Lepisosteus oculatus: one gene and its partner. Each later gene encodes a partner of the first gene's protein in a complex. Links are inferred from orthologs where the notes say so. Each region holds a gene or a part of one and is shown in the gene's direction. Other genes may lie near its edges.

Region 1 (7,767 bases):
TCCAGCTGAGCAGACGCAGGCCGTGCTCAGCTCCTGCCTGTCCAGGGAGGAATGACAGAAATGCAAGGCTGGTTACTGTCCTGATGGTTATCTTCATGTGACACGGGATGTGGAATTGTGTCCCAGCCACCCAGGGAGGAAGGAGTGCCCTGTGGGAATTAGGAAGGAGGAAGCCCTCATGGAAGAGCATGTCAAACCGGGAGCTGGAGGCACTTCTCTACACAAAGGGTTGTGGGAGTATGGAACAAGCTAGCCAGCCACGATTGCCGAAGCCCATACTGTCGATTTTCTTTCACGAAAGGGAAGTAAGGGCTACTAAACTTCTCATTTGTAAGTTTCCACTTCCATTTGTAGCTGTGTTCTTTTCTTTTGCTGAATCTCAAAATTCTCTTCTAGAGGAAGAAAAAATGTCCCACTGTAATACACACCTGATGTAATCTCTCTTTTTGTCTGAAAAGAAATCTTACTAAGATTGGCAGGCTGTGTGTTTTCTTTATAGATCACAGCAGTCAAACTGTATTTAAACTTCAAGTCCCGCATTTTTGAGAGGCAAGCCAATCTTGAACGATCTTTTAATGCAATTTTAACTTTTTCATTTTACTTCTCAATGGCTCTTCAAATAGGCTATTGACTGTTCAGCTTCCAAGAGGCCTTGAGTGGGATTGTTCTGGCTGGAATGATGGCGGCTTTGCAGTTTCGCCGAAGGAGAACACTTATTGAATTAAAATCTGTTCAGTTTATCGCTCTTTATGGAGAGCTACAGAGAAGGTATACCTCCTATAAATATGAATTCTCCGACTGGAGAAACTGTGCATTGCGGTGAGCTCTAAAACAGTGTTACACTTTGGTCTTGATACGGGCGCAGGCAGCACTTGAGAACTCTAGTTCTCATCCAAGCCCGCGGTCATGACCCTGTGCCCCCTCTCCCTGCCTTTACCTGCCTCTAGAGCGACACGCCCCCACACAGCTGCTGCTGCAGTCCAACCCCTGACCGGCCCGCAGGGGCCGGTGACGATGCTTGACCGACACATCGCAGCGGGGGAGACCGAAGGCCAGGGCTGTGCCGGGGATCGGGTTCGAGATTGTGGTTTCCCTGCGGGGTGAAAAGTCCTGTGTCCGGCCCTCACTGGTGGCCAGTGGGTAAACAGGTTTGGACTTCATTCAGGGCAGAAATCTTTGACATACCTGTAGTGTGTGATGGTGGGGCCTGTGGTCCACAGGAAATTGAGAACTCTAAATGGCCTCAGGGGAATTAAAAGGCAAGGGCAACACAAACAAAACCCCAGTGTGTTTGAGGGACAGTGTGTGTCCTGTCTGTCCCTAATGTCTCTCAGCTTTTGTCTCAGTGCAGAGTTCTGCTGATGCTGGACCGTGGCCGGTGGCTGACACTGGCAGCTGGTCCATCATCTCCGACTGTGAAGTTCTCTTCCCAGAGGAGTTAGGGAATGCGACTATCCCTGTGATTCACCTTGAGACTTACAGGCACCTTTTAAGATGTTCTTCCCAAAGATTGACTTACTGTCTGCTTTTAAAAGCCTGGACCGTCTCTTACATTGAGACAACTGAGGAAGCAATGTAAGATCAGCAATATGTGGACGCAGACATACAACCTACAAGAAATAAGGCAGGGGAGGGTCAAAAGTGTGAAGATTAAATGAGGAAAATACCTCCCCCAGTGACAATCCAGTGCTACTGTAGCAACACCCCAGTATCTATTAACACACAGCGCTTTGCAGGGTTGGCTTATTTCAATCAGCTCAATTTAAAACACTTCTTTTTTCATCGTCTATCCCATAGCTTCTAAATTAAAAAAGTATGTTTTTTCTAAAAAAGGAAATATTCCAAACTTTTGTCCTGTGGGAATATGTCTACACGGGTTGTAGTGCTTTGAACAGGAGAAAGCTAAGACAGTAATCGCTGTAAACAGTGTCAGGAGATGCCCCATGCCCATACAGCAACTGATGGGAACTTAGTCAACGTTTCGTGCTTGGATTGAGCTGGGTCCTTCCCTGGAATATCAGCCTGAAACAGGGGTAACGCTCCTAGTAAATGTATTAAAAATGATTTTGCCATCACACGGTGCCTCAGGTCAGTACGAGGCAAGGCATTTCTCAGGGTGATTCTGCATACAGCAAGACTATGCTCCTGATCGGTCATTTTATTATATCAGATTCTATTATATGAATTATATCATTGTTATGTCTGGACATCGGTTGTGTTTGTCCGAAGAGATGTTTGTCAAGAGGGTTTATAAAAATCAGTGCAAGGTTTAGGTACCCAGAAACAAACTTTTTCTGCATCTTATGGTGTTTTAATCGTGTAGCTTTTTTATCACATCTTTTGACTTCTGGCTTCTGTTCAGGCCTGGAATCCTTCTGTTTATTTTGTATACAGGTAGGCCAGTGCTTCCAAAGCATGCAGGTGTAGAACAGGACTTAATGCATTTTTATACAAAAATTCGTATTCTATATTCTCTTGCAGATTAGAATGGCATATGTTTAGCAATAATATTATTTATGGTACCTGAAAGTTTCAGGTTGTTGCACAAAGCTAAGGTATGTGTCTACGTGATCTGACAACTGGAATCAATTTCCTGTCGTTAAACTCTGTTTATTTTTAGGTTTGTGGAGTCATGTGGAGTTTGCACGATCTCCTTACATCTGTGTGGGCTTTCTCTAGATGCCTCTGTTTCCCTCCAGAGCCTAAAGATGCGCCACCAAGGCTGGTTGGCTTCTCTGCTGTCACGATGATTATTAACACCACCCAGCCGGCTTTCACGTCAGTATTGCAGGAGAGTTCCCCGTCCTTTAAAAACAGTTATGAATTTTGGTTAGAGGTGTGGAGTTAATGTGGCAGCACCTTTAGAAGTACAGAAATACGAGATCACCCTCAAACTAGGCCGGTTTCAGTGCAAAGGGGGGGATCACCCAAGCGTCAGAGAGGTGATCTGCTCTAGTCATGGTGTGGCTATGGGTTCTGCACATTTCTGAGGGGCAGGCAAATGGGTTACTCCACTCCGATCCCATCTTTCACGACCAATAGCCACCCTGTGGTCACCGGTTTCTAAAGGTGGGGAACACCTGTGAGTTATCGATCACCTAAGCAATAATCCATTCAATTTAGAGATCTCCAATAATTGGCATCCGAAGGGCACCCAGATTTTAATCCCAATTGGTCTCTTCAGTGTCTTAATTTAAACAAATCATTTTCTTAATTGGTCACAATGAAATTGTTCCAAGTCTTTAGCAGTTGATTATTTAAGGGTGACATAGAGCTGGAGCTGGAAGCTGGAACAGAGGTCCCTGGGGCCTGGATTGGACTGGACTGGATTAGGTTGGAAGGGTCTGGAGTGGGTTGAGCTGAGCTGGGCTGTATTGTACACATTCAAGCTGTCTACATGTTGACTTGTACATTGTCCACTGTTTGTCTATTGTCTTGATGCACTGTCTGCACTTTGTGTTTTTACACCTGTTTTACAATCGAGAGACTTTCTGTAAGTAAGAATTCCATTGTACCAGTTTATGTACCAGTTACATATGGCAATAAAGTTCAAGTTCTGTACTGGACTGGACTAGAGTACACTAGACTGGAGTGGATTGGACGGATGAGGACTTGGCTGGGGTGGACAAGACTGGATTTTGACGGACTGGAGTGGACTAGAGTACACTAGACTCTAGATGACACTAGACTGGAGTGGACTGCACTGGAGTGGACCAGTCTAAACTAAACTGGACTGCATTTAAAAGGACTGGACTGGACTGTGCTTGACTGGACTAGAGTGGACTGGACCAGACTGGAGTGGACTGGGCTGGACAGGACGGGACTGGACTGGGATTGACTGGGCTGGGGGCCCCTGCTGTTGAAGGTCTGGATGGTGGTGGATGTCTTTCACAGAGCTGTGGAGACCGGCCGGTTCCAGGGAACGGTTTCTACACAAAAATAAGTTTACCCTGAAATAAAATTATGTTATTAAATATTTAAATTAAATTATCCTGAAATAGTTTATCCTGAAACCCCTCTATTACTTTGTCAAACACAAATGCTCCCTCAGTACTTGATTGATTTGCAATATTTAATTTGGGCACCCTGCACTGACCGTGATTGTGTTACCTAAACTTCGCGTGTAAACAGATTTTCATAGCGTTAGGTACAATTAAGGTCCAATTAAACCTTCCTGCCGAACTTCTGATAATGGAAAAGTAGCCATACAATCCTTATCATCTATATCAACGAATTGTGTTGGGGTTAGGCTCTGCATGAAAGATTTAGATTAGAAGAACGACCCAAAGTTGATTTTACAGAGGGGCAATTCGGGTGCTCTGCGCTGGTGTGTGTGTGCAAGAGCTTAGCAGACGAGCCGCTTTCCCCTTCATCAGAATGACTACCCACCGCTTTTAAATATCAGATTGGATTATTAAACGGGGCAACTTGGAAACCTCCCGCTTGCCAAAAAAAAACATGAAACCTCCAAAAACTGCAAAACGTTTTTTTTTTTATTTTATTCCCCTCCTCCTCCACAACAACATAGAAATCTCCCGGACCGGGTCCGAACCCGACCACGTCCGGCAAGGGAAGGTGAAGTTCAGTCACGATCCTGACTGTTCCCCACCCGGACTTTTGCGGCTCCCCCTCCTCCTCCTCAGCCGGCCCTTTTTTCCTCCCCCCCCCCTCCTCCTCCTCCTGCTTGATCCCTCCGCCAGGCTCTGCTACGGGCGAGGCGAGGCGAGGCGGGCCGGGCCGCAGCGCAGCCGCGCGGAGTGATCTGGCGGAGGGACTACACCCCGCTCGCGCTGCCCGAATGTTACTCGGCGCCGCCGCGCAGCGCGAGCTCAGATCCGAGCGGGGCACGAGACGGAGCGCCGGGCTGTGGCTGCCGCTGGAGACACGCTTTCGACTTCAGACATCCTCCCCCCCAGTCCTGCGGCTCCTTCTTCTCCTCCTCCTCCTCCTCCTCCTCTTCTTCCAAACGCACCCGACACCGCAGCGAGGCGTTCAAACGCGGCCAGATCCCCCCTCAGCAGCAGCAGCAGAAGACAGCATCCTTCCCCGGCTGGGTTCTCTCTTCCCCCCTTACCTCCCGGCTCCCTCCTCCCCCAGCGCCCGTCTTCTTCAGCGCTCCTGCCGTCTTTAACCGCCGGTCGTGTTCCAGAGGGGGAGAGATCGAGAGAGAGAGAGAGACGCAAGCATGTCCTGGCAGAGCTACGTGGATAATTTGATGGCTGACGGCAGCTGCCAGGACTCCGCCATCGTCGGTTACACGGACGCCAAGTACGTCTGGGCCGCGTCGGCCGGCGGGACTTTCCACAGCATGACGGTAAGGGCCCGGGAGAGGAGGGAGGGGGGCGTCAGGGCAGCCCGGGGATCGGCCGGTCTGTCCGAGGAGCAGGCCCGGGCCGGGCGGGCCTGTTGTCCGGGGAGCCGCAGGCCGAGGCCCGGCGCTGGGGGCCCGTTAGATCTTTATTCCAGGGGAACTTCCACGGGGGGAGGAGGAGGAGGAGGGAGGGGCGACGGACGGGATAACAGCCCCCGCTGCCCTCTTTATTTCCACGCGTGGGTCGCTTCAAAACGTGCGGTGTGGGAGAGGAGGAGGAGGAGGAGGGGGCTTCGTCTGTTTTCTGGGGGGGGGGGATTCCCCCCCCAGCACTTAAATGTACGGGTGTCTGCGACCGGCAATGCGGGAAAGGCAGTGGTGGTGCGTTGCGGGCGGGGGGGGGCCGAGAGAGAGAGAAGACGATGAAATCAGGCCGGCCGTCCAGATTCGGAGAAAGTTACGCCACGTTTCTGACGTAACCCGGCCGGGCGAGCGGGGCGGCTGCGGTGGGGACAGTGCGTACCGGGGCTTCGAGAATCCCGGCCGCGCCGCCGCTGCCGCCTCCTTCGTGCTGCCCAAGATGGCGCCTCCCCGCGCTGGGGTTTTTTTTTTTTATTCATCCCAACAGCTCGGACTCCTTGCACGGCAACTCGCCGCATTATGTCCAACAATGCGGTGTTGGAGGTGTTTTTTTTTTTTTTTAAAAAGCTGCTGTCGTCTCGTTCGGGCGGCTTGTTTTGCAGCCGCGAAGCGTCCAGTTTGTTTGTTTTTTGGGAGGAGGAGGAGGGGGACAAAATGGGGCAGCACCTTTTGTAAGACGAGTGAGAAGGCGAGATATCCTCCATTTTGTACGGGTGGATGGAGGTTTTCTGCGGTCCGGTGCCGCCGCCGCCGCGTTTCGCCCCTGCCCGGTCGCGGCGCAACGTGTCGCGGCGGCTTTTATTTCCAGCCGGCGGTTTCCGAGCTCGGCCGCTCCTGGGGTGGGCGCTCCCACATGGCGACGGGTCCCATCTTTCCACCCCTTGGGTTTGTGGCTTGTTGACATGCAAAATGTCCCCCCCCCCCCCCCCCCCCGACCCCCACCACTCCAGGAAAAAAAAAAGCTCTAGCGCGGATTGCGGATCTGGATGCCGGTTTTAAATGATGCATGATGATCTTAAGAGTCGAGATTCTCCCCCCATCATCATCATCACCACCACCACCACCACCACCCCCCGCTCGGATCTCATGACAGCGGCCCTCAAAGTCATCGCCTTCGCCTGAGTGGCTGTGGTCGCGGGGTTTGTGCGAGTGGAGCGGACACGGAGACAGGGAGGAGGAGGAGGGAGGGGGTGATGGCCGGGCCTGCCATGACTGTGCAGTTCTACTGGAGGGCGACGCCTTCTCTCACACGGGTCGCTTTCCTCCGGCAGGGGTGGGGGTTGGGGGTGATTAAATAAAAAAACCCGGCTCGCAAACCAGCCCGCAACCTTCATATTCATTCCCCACCCACCCCCCCACGTCTGAACGCGGACGCGCAAGGAACCTTCTGGACTGCGGCCGCGGCGTGACGGCAGCCCGCAGGTCCCCGGGCCGAGTCGAGCCCACTTGCACACGGACCCCCCGTGTGACACCGCCGTGCAGGAAACTGATGCACTGCTGTCTTTTTTTTTGTGTGTGTGGTTTTTTTTTTTACCGTGGAACTCCCTTTTTTTAGAAAAAAAAAATCTCGGCAGCTTAAAAATGCCGTCGCCTGGCGTGACGTCGCCTCCCTCCAGGCGAGGCCGGTCAGTCCGGGTCGTGCGGGCTCTGGGCCGGAGGGGTCCGGCTCTGCTCTTCCAGGCACAAAGCGTGACGCCCTCGGCAGAGCAGGGCTGCCTCGCTCTGTGTGCTTTCGCTGGGCTGGGACTGCTGTGCCGCATCTCCAGACGGTTTTTTCCTGGGGGGGGGCACCTCTTTATTCTTTGGATGACCTGCCACTGTGGTGGGTTTCATGACGCACTAGGGGTTGCTCTTGCGAACGTGATGGGGGTGGGAAAACGATGGTGTTCTCAGCAGTTTGTCCCCTGCACTGCATTTAGAAACAGCTGATCTCTCCATGTAGAGGAGGTTTAGGTGGCATAGGATTAAATTCAGATATGACTGGGTCCGGTGAGGTTCTTCAGAATTGAATTTTTACTTGCAGGATGACGTGGAACATTGACGTGGGTGACATTTCTTAAAATGTACAAAATCTTAGTTCTTTTTTTTTTTGTACTTTCTAGCCCCAAGAAATTGATGTGATAGTTGGAAAAGACCGAGAGGGTTTCTTCACCAGCGGTCTGACCTTAGGTTCAAAGAAGTGCTCTGTGATCAGAGACAGTCTTCATGTTGAAGGGGACTGGACAATGGACATCAGGACAAAGAGTCAAGGTGGAGAGCCAACATATAATGTTTCTGTAGGCAGAGCCGGAAAAGGTAATGTACTACTTTTTATA
Region 2 (7,558 bases), on another chromosome or scaffold:
TGAGAAACAGACACTTCCAGTCCTTTTCATGTCTAAGTGTTCTACAGGGCCAGTAAAATAAGCCATTATTGGTTGGATCAAAGTCCAATAATGCAATGAGAGGAGCTGTGTGGCCCTACCAGCCCGTTAGCCAGTTGATTGATTCTAGGATCTCCTCCAGCTGTCTTTTGTAAGAAGGCAGGGTATCGGGCTTTAGCTACATGGTTGGCGAGCTTGTTCCCCACCCCCACCACCCATTGTGTAAAAGAGTTCTCAGTTTTAAATGCATTTCCCCTTGTGTCCCCTGGTTCGTGTTTCACCCTTGATTCTGAAGACGTCCGCTGGGTTGGGTTTGCCAGAGCCTTGAGGATTTTTGATTGCTTGTATCGGATCCCCTCGTAGCCTCCTCTGTTCAAGAGTTGTTTTGGGAGCCACGCCTCCCCAGCCTCCCGCCACACGGACAGAAGGCTCTTGAGGGAGCAGAGGAAGGCTGCCCGGTGTGTTCGGTGACATTTGAAGCGCCCCCTTGTGCCCGTGGAGCAGAACCGCCGGGCGTCGCGCTCTGCAGCAGAGTGGCCCAAGCCTGCCACGCCCACCTCCGCGCTCACCTGAGCGGGAGATCAGACTGGTACCGGAACCAGAGAGCCTAGTTCCATCTCTGCACCGTGTTGTTGTACGCAAGGCGTGCTGAGCTCCGCAGGTAACGAAGGAATAGAGAGGTTTATGGGGCAGAGAGGGAGAGTGTGAGTTGTGAGTTTACAGAGTGCAGCTCTTCTGCGAGTCCAGGGCGCAGCCCTGAATCTCTGCCATTTCCTGCATGCCTTGCATTGCTGGGTGCTGTGATTACTGGTAGCCTGGAGGAGGACAGTGAGCGTGCAGGGTCTTGTGGGGACTTGAAGGGATGAGGGTTTCTGGAGTGGAAGGAAACAGAGCCTGCGAAATCGCCGGACATGGGTGGACACCCCAGGAAAGAGCGCAGGACACCGGCACCCAAGCCCGGGCTTCGTGCTCTCCGGTCTCGCAAGAAACGGCTTCAAAGGTGGAAGCGCTGATCAGCAGTCCTCAGACGAGCCCTGTGCGACAGGAGCCTGCGGGAATATGAAATTGTGCTTCATCAACCCCCCTCCGCCAGGCCATTCGAGGAGGAGGGGCCGGAGCTCTGCTGCTCCTCTGCTGAGCTGTGGTTAGGCCTGTTGAGTGAAGAATTATTCGCACTGAATAATGAACTACAATGTGGCTCGTTAGAGTGGCGATGAACATTATTTAATGAAATGCAGTTCCCAGTTTTGCCTGTCAGGAGGGTCGTACAGTCCCCCTCCCCCTCACATCATGATGCACACATCAGTTTAGAACAGCATCACTTTGCATCCGCGACATGAACATGCATTTCTTTTCCATCAGCTGACGTACAGGGTTGGAAGGAGCATAACTCTTTGATCCGTTGTATTCAGGCTTTCATGTAGAGTGCTCTGTATGAGTGTTGTCATCGTCCTCTAAAAAAATGCATTGCTGCTCTGAAATCAGACCAGGAAGTAACGCTCGTATTCTTTGTGGGGCTTAAGGAAACATCCCACACGGACAGGCTGAAGGAGCTGAAGCTCTTTAGTCCTAAACACTGAAAGGGGTCTTCGTCCAAGTAATCGAAATCATCAAAGGCAACAAAGTCACTCAGTGGGCTTCTTCAGAATGAACGGTGAGACGCGGACCAGACGGCACAGGTTGAAACCACTTGGAAGTGCATTTAAAACAGGCACTTCTTTACACAAAGGCTTGTAGGAGCGTGGAACACGCTACTGTTCTTTAGCTCCACTCTGGTTTGTGTCTGTTCTTGGATGCCATACGTTTAAACTGGGCAGGTGCGGTGCGGGCCCTGTTCTGCGCCTGGTGTCGGGTGGTGGACAGGAGCGGTGCAGTTAATCTGCTGGAAAGGAGAACTGCCCTGCGGACCCGTCATTGTGTGAAAATGCGCCGGAGGAAGCGGCGTGCGGCGGGTTTGGAAGTTGCACCCTGGCTGCGCCACATCTGCACATCTCCCATCCAGAGCTGCTTACGAGTGCCGGCCCTTTGCGAATTTGCAGAGTAGCAGCAGGCGGAATGATGCAACTTCACCATCACACCCAAATTGATGCCTTTCGGGGTGTCCCTCTCTGCCCGTGCCCCCTGAGATCTCCCTGCGAGTGTTTTGGGGTTCCTTCAGAGGAGGAGTGGGGCGTGTGCACCTGACAGCTTCATGACACTGTTCCATTGAGTGGGGCCGTATCCAAGACCAAGCCTGTCCCGGGGCGAGCCGGTACCGTGACGGGCCGGTTCACCCTGCCGCCGTTCCTCGGTGTGAAGCCAAGCCCCCGCTGTCGCAGACAGAGCTACCGCTCCGTGCGGCTCGTGCTGACCAGACTCGCCTGCGCCGACCCTGGGGGGGAAGAGGAATTTGAGGAAGTCAAACCACAGTGCCTGGTTTTAGCAAACTGTGAATTTGCAGAAGCATCTTTCACAAGAGCCTGAGGATGTAGCTGAAGAAACAATGAGTGTGCGGAACAAACGAACGCAGTTTGTTCTACGTTCTCATTGTCCCCCCGTGAAAGCGGAGGACATTGTTTTCAGTGGTTCTTTTCCATCTGGTTGTGGATAACAATCAAGTTGCGTTCTGCGAAGTTTTGTCCGCTTCTGCAGACATCGGAGTGCGTGGTAGTGTTGCGCACCTGCAGCCCCGCTGGGGAGCTCAGGACATCGGCTTCACAAGAGATGGATCTCCGAATTGTTTCGCAGAGTCCCAAACTGGATTTGTGCTCCCTAAAGCACGTTACAGATCCAGAGAGAAAGTTTGTTGATTTCAAGAGCTGGCTGGCCGCATTTCATCAGGTTTATTCACACTCTCTTCACGCTGACAATCGCAGTAATGTGAAGTCTGATAAGTAACAGCCTGATTCGGTGTTCCCAGGGGTGTATGTGATAATACCGACGCTGGGATCACCTGTCCATTCGTGAGGCTGGTTATATATAGTGTGAAGGAGATGCTCGAGGAGGGAGCTGTGTCGGCGTGTGCCGGCTGCAGAGGAACAGGTCAAGGATTTCTCCCTGCTGAAAGGAAAAGACATGAGGAGAGACGCAACGTTTCGGATGTGGGGCCTTCTGCACACACCTGAAGAAGATCCACAGCCGAAACGTTTTCTCTTTTCCTTTCCTTTCTGCATGGAATAGACCTTTACCTGTTCCTCTGTGGGAAGGAGGTGAGCATCAGGCCAATGCACCAGAGGTCTTAAAGTTCTTGTTTTTTTCCTCCAAGGCCTTATCTCAGATCCCTTGTGAAAAAAGTGGCGGCGATCAGTTTATCTCGATGTGTGGAAGGCTCTCTCCGTTTCAGAACCCTCTCTCCTCCGCCACGCCCGCGCTTGTCGAAGGCCGTGAGTCGCCCGCAGCCCTAAGACACCGGCAGTGCTCCCAGAATGCAGGCTCCAGTCTGAAACGCCCTGTGGGGCTGGTGGAATGTGGAATTAACTCTTCGAGAGCTCAAAGCCAAGATGTGTCCTGGAGCCCAGACCACTATAATCTGTGTCCTGTGTCTCAAATCGCCCAAACACGTTTCAGGCGTATGTCACATATCTTGATAAATGATGTACCTTTGTGTGCGTTTCATTTCTGCAGTTAGTTGTGTATGGAGACCAGAGGGGCAGTCTTGCCTGTGCTTAGCTTGGGGTGTATTCTGAGGTGCCTGCGAGATTTGCACTTTTGCAGAGCTGCATATTAATGCTGCGTTTGTTCATTCTGTTACCGAAAGCTTACGCAGCTAATTATATAAGCCTGTTGTATATCTGGTATCGTCTACCACAGTCTCGCTTTAAGATGGTAAATGTATTAACAGCAGCTGTACTTGCACTCGTCTACTTTTTGACAGTTATGTTCGGGCCGACTTCAAAACTTTTTTTTTTTCATTTGTTAATATCAGTGGCTAGAGCAGTGTTCCTGTTTACCCTGACCACATCCCTCTCACTGTCAGTGTCCTCTGGACCGCATCGGGGGAGGCGAGGCCTGCAGGCTGCCGATAGGATAGCCCTAGTACAAGCACAGATAATTCACATGAAGGGTTTCTTGTTTTAAGGGAAAAAAGTTTGCAGTAAGTAAAAGCGCGAGACGCTCTGCCAAGCTGACGCAAGCCAGCTCAGCAGACTGCCAAACAACACTGAGCACAAAAAGGAGCAGGCACAAACACCCCAGACTGTGAGCCGAAGGCAGGCTGGTGATTGTAGGTTTTGAGCGGTTTGGTGGGGAGAGGAGAGGGCTGCAGTGGGAGGTGGGGCTGGAGACTCGGAGGGAGTGGAGGGGGGGGCAGGTAGAGCGGAGCGAGCCAGGGCTGGCAGGGAGACGGGGTGTGGGAGGGAGGAGAGGGGCAGGCGGGGCTGGGCCTGGGCCTGAAGAAGAGAGACGGGAGGCGCAGGTACAGAGAGCTCCTGAGGGAGCAGTCGCACAGGGGGAGAGACGGAGGGGGCGTGCCTTGTGGGGCATGACTCAGCCCGTCGGCGTGTCGCTGAGCACAGCCTTATACAGGCATGTCTGAGAGCGCCTGGCCGCAGTCTGTTTACTTCGCCCCAGCTGCACAGTTTCCTGTTAACTCCTGCCTGACCAGGCAACAGGGCTGCTTTCCCTCCTGGATCAGCAGCCATTTTGGCTCCTGTTTCCACCCAGGGTTTCGGGGTGCGGTGCCTTGGACTACGGCATCGTACAGAGGGGTTTGTCGATGGATCGTGCTCAGTAGGTGTGTCTGTGGTCCTGGCTTCTGGATTGCTAGCCTTTTGAGCCCATCGAGCACACGATCCTTTATTTTGAGAGCTCTGCTGATGTGTTTAACACAGCCCACTGGCCCCAGAGGTTTATGAGGAAATATGCCTGCCTTGAGCATTTCAGAAGCCTAATTTCCGGTAGGAAAAGGTCAGAGTGGTAAAGTGAAACTGTAGATTTCTGCGGTGAATGGTAGACTTTGCTGTTGGTAGGTGGGGAGTGGCAGTAGCTCCTGAAGGAGCAGGTAGTGATTGTCGGATGCGCTGTCTGCTCAGAGAGTCTGGGCCTAGCTGAGGCTCGGCGTGATCCATCATTTAATGCTCCTGCCGAAGAGCAATCTGAAGAGATTGAAAATGCATGCCAGCTCGCTCTCTTTCCGATTGTCTGAAACTCTCGCCTTGTCTCCGTCACACACACGCACGCCCCCCTCCGGGTCACAGACCCGTAGATTCCTCTTGGGGAGTGAGCCTGACCCTGTGCCCCTCCCCCTGAGCCAGCAACGTTAGCCTCTCCGGGACACGGGGGAGGGCAATTAAATGAACCCGGGCCCATGATTCCGTCAGGGTCTGAACGATCAGGTTCTGAATGAGCGGGACCCGGCGTGCCATCCCAGCAAACACTACAGGGCTGGGACCCGGAGCTGCGAGTGCTGTGTGGGCCGGTGCCGTTTACTGGTACAAGAACATCAAGAAGATGAGCAGAGGCCATTTGGCACAGAGGTCTGGCACATCTGGGCTGACTGAACCCAGATCTCATCTAGCTGGTTCTCGAATGTAGTCGAGGTATCAGCTTCAGCTACTTGGTTGGTCAGTTTGTTCCAGACTCCCACCACCCTGTGTGTAAAGAAGTGCCTCGCGTTGACAGGTTTGAATGCACTTCCCTGTAGTTTTCGCCTGGGCGCTCTGGTTCTGGAACTCCGGCCCACCTGCGCCTCCCGAGCTCCCCCCGCGCGCAGGGGGGTCTCCCAGCAGGGCGGCCCCGGCAGCGGGCGAGGCTGGCTTGGGGCCGCCCCCGCCGGCCAGCCGTGCTCGTGTGTGGGAGGGCCTGTGTTTTGCGCTCTGGGAAATGTTTGCATTGCAAATCTAGCCCCCCCGCGCCTCCCAGTTTTTTGCTTCCTCCCCTTGGCTTCAATTTTGACCTTTTCGCTCCTTCTACTGCGGCACTCCGGCCCTTCCGCTGGTTATTTCACTACTAGAAGCCGAGCCTTGTCCTCTCTTTCCGGATCCCTGTCCAGCAGTGGAGTTAGTCGGTAGAGGGCGTTCGTTCTAGTTTTGGACCTGAACTGCTTCGCTGGGGAGTCGAGAATGACTCGACAGCCGGGGCTCTCCAGGAACAGGGCTGCTTTAAGCCCTCGTTTTGCCGACATCTACAGTACGTGTATTTTTGGGGGTTCTGTCCGATGAAGAAGGCTGAATCGTACCCCTGGTAAGGGCAGCACCCTAGAATCTCAAGTTGGTCCGGGAGCTCATTGTGATCTGTTCAGTGCTGTCTTGCCAGAAACCACTCTTGTAGGCAGGGAATGCTTCTCATTTTTTCCAGATTCCCTGGCGTCTTCAGTAGGATAACCAGATAAAATAACAAGCACGTCAGGACTTTTTACTTAATTTGATTTGCTGTTAAACTCGGGGCAACTTGGCACAGGCGATAGAAGACCTTGAAGCAGTGGGGATACGAATAACATTCAGCACTGAGCAGACCTCTGCATGGTACCCAGACATTTAGGAATTGGCATGCTTAACGAGAGCAGGAAAAGCCAGTCAACAAAAGACCATCTTTGCAATCGATTGACACTGTAGACACTCCTGCAGGACAGGCTGGAGCTTTGTGCTCCAGCTCAGCAGCTCACTCTTCTTTCGGTTGAATCCCTCCGATTTACCTGCGCTGGATCACAAACAAATTAAATATTAACGCGATCTGTTCCTTTTCTCTATTTGGATTAATATCCATGTGTGTCGGGGTGCGTTTTAGAGCTTAACAGTTAATGATTAATGAATATTAAAATACAAAACGGGTCATAGTAGGGCCAGCACGATCCTTTCCATCAGGAGAATGAAGTAATAAATAAGAGAAGACTGCTCGTCCCGTTGAGCTCGTCAGTAGCTGATTGATCCAAGGGTCTCTTGCAGATGATTCCAGACAGAAGCCAGGCTGTTGGCTTCAACAGCGTGACTGTATACCTTGTTCCACACTCCCACGACCCTTTGTGTAAAGTAGTGCCTCCTTTGCTTGGGTTTAAAAGCACTCTCATGGGGTTTCCCTTTGTGCCCTCTGGTGCGTGTTTTGTTGTTATTGCTGCAGGAGTCTGCTAGATTGACCTGGTCACTGAGGTCCCCTTGTAGTCTTCTGTGTTCAGGAGTGAAAAGGTTCAGTTTCTCCCGTGTGTCTGTGTAGACCACTCCCTCAACCCCTGGAATGGAGCCGATGATCCTTCTCTGGACAGATTCCAGAGCAGCAATACCTCCTCTCTAACGCAGTGACCAGCATTGTACATGCGCTTCTGAACAAGGCCTTCCTGCTGTCACACTGTGCAGGGCCGGAGGGGGGAGGGTGCAGGTTGTTCAAAATGATTTTTTCTTTCATTTTTGGGGGGCGAGAGAGCTAGAAGGCTTCACACCACATCCCCAGTGTGGCAACACTTGGGCTAATTCGGCCATCTGCGTGTTTCTTCATCGTCAAAAAAACCCTGATCCAAAACAAACAAACTGGGCAGTCGGCCAGAACAAGTCAGTCTGCGCCGAGCCTCAGACAGCCCTTCAGGAGGAGCCTCAGCTCATCGGTGCGGTCTCGTACCCGTGTCCAGGCCGGG

What was found. Proteins that work in one complex are often made in the same cells at the same time.
Region 2: the proteins of profilin-2 (region 1) and vaspb are in contact, whole or in part, in a crystal structure (PDB 2V8C), measured with the Mus musculus proteins. The link is inferred for Lepisosteus oculatus from reciprocal best matches to the Homo sapiens genes PFN2 and VASP. Residues at the interface, in NP_062283.1 of Mus musculus: Gly3, Trp4, Ser6, Tyr7, Asn10, Cys13, Tyr30, Trp32, Met131, Tyr134, Ser138, Phe140; in NP_033525.2 of Mus musculus: Gly165, Pro166, Pro167, Pro168, Pro169, Pro170, Gly171, Pro172, Pro173, Pro174, Pro175, Pro176.

The regions. Positions count from the first base shown.
Region 1 is NC_090708.1:2,496,264-2,504,030, reverse strand, and holds the start of profilin-2, read left to right. Parts: upstream 1-4,750; 5' UTR 4,751-5,185; coding exon 5,186-5,314; intron 5,315-7,554; coding exon 7,555-7,747; intron 7,748-7,767. UniProt on the Homo sapiens protein: Binds to actin and affects the structure of the cytoskeleton. At high concentrations, profilin prevents the polymerization of actin, whereas it enhances it at low concentrations. By binding to PIP2, it inhibits the formation of IP3 and DG.
Region 2 is NC_090698.1:2,213,674-2,221,231, forward strand, and holds the start of vaspb (vasodilator-stimulated phosphoprotein), read left to right. Parts: upstream 1-4,508; 5' UTR 4,509-4,523; coding exon 4,524-4,729; intron 4,730-7,558. UniProt on the Homo sapiens protein: Ena/VASP proteins are actin-associated proteins involved in a range of processes dependent on cytoskeleton remodeling and cell polarity such as axon guidance, lamellipodial and filopodial dynamics, platelet activation and cell migration.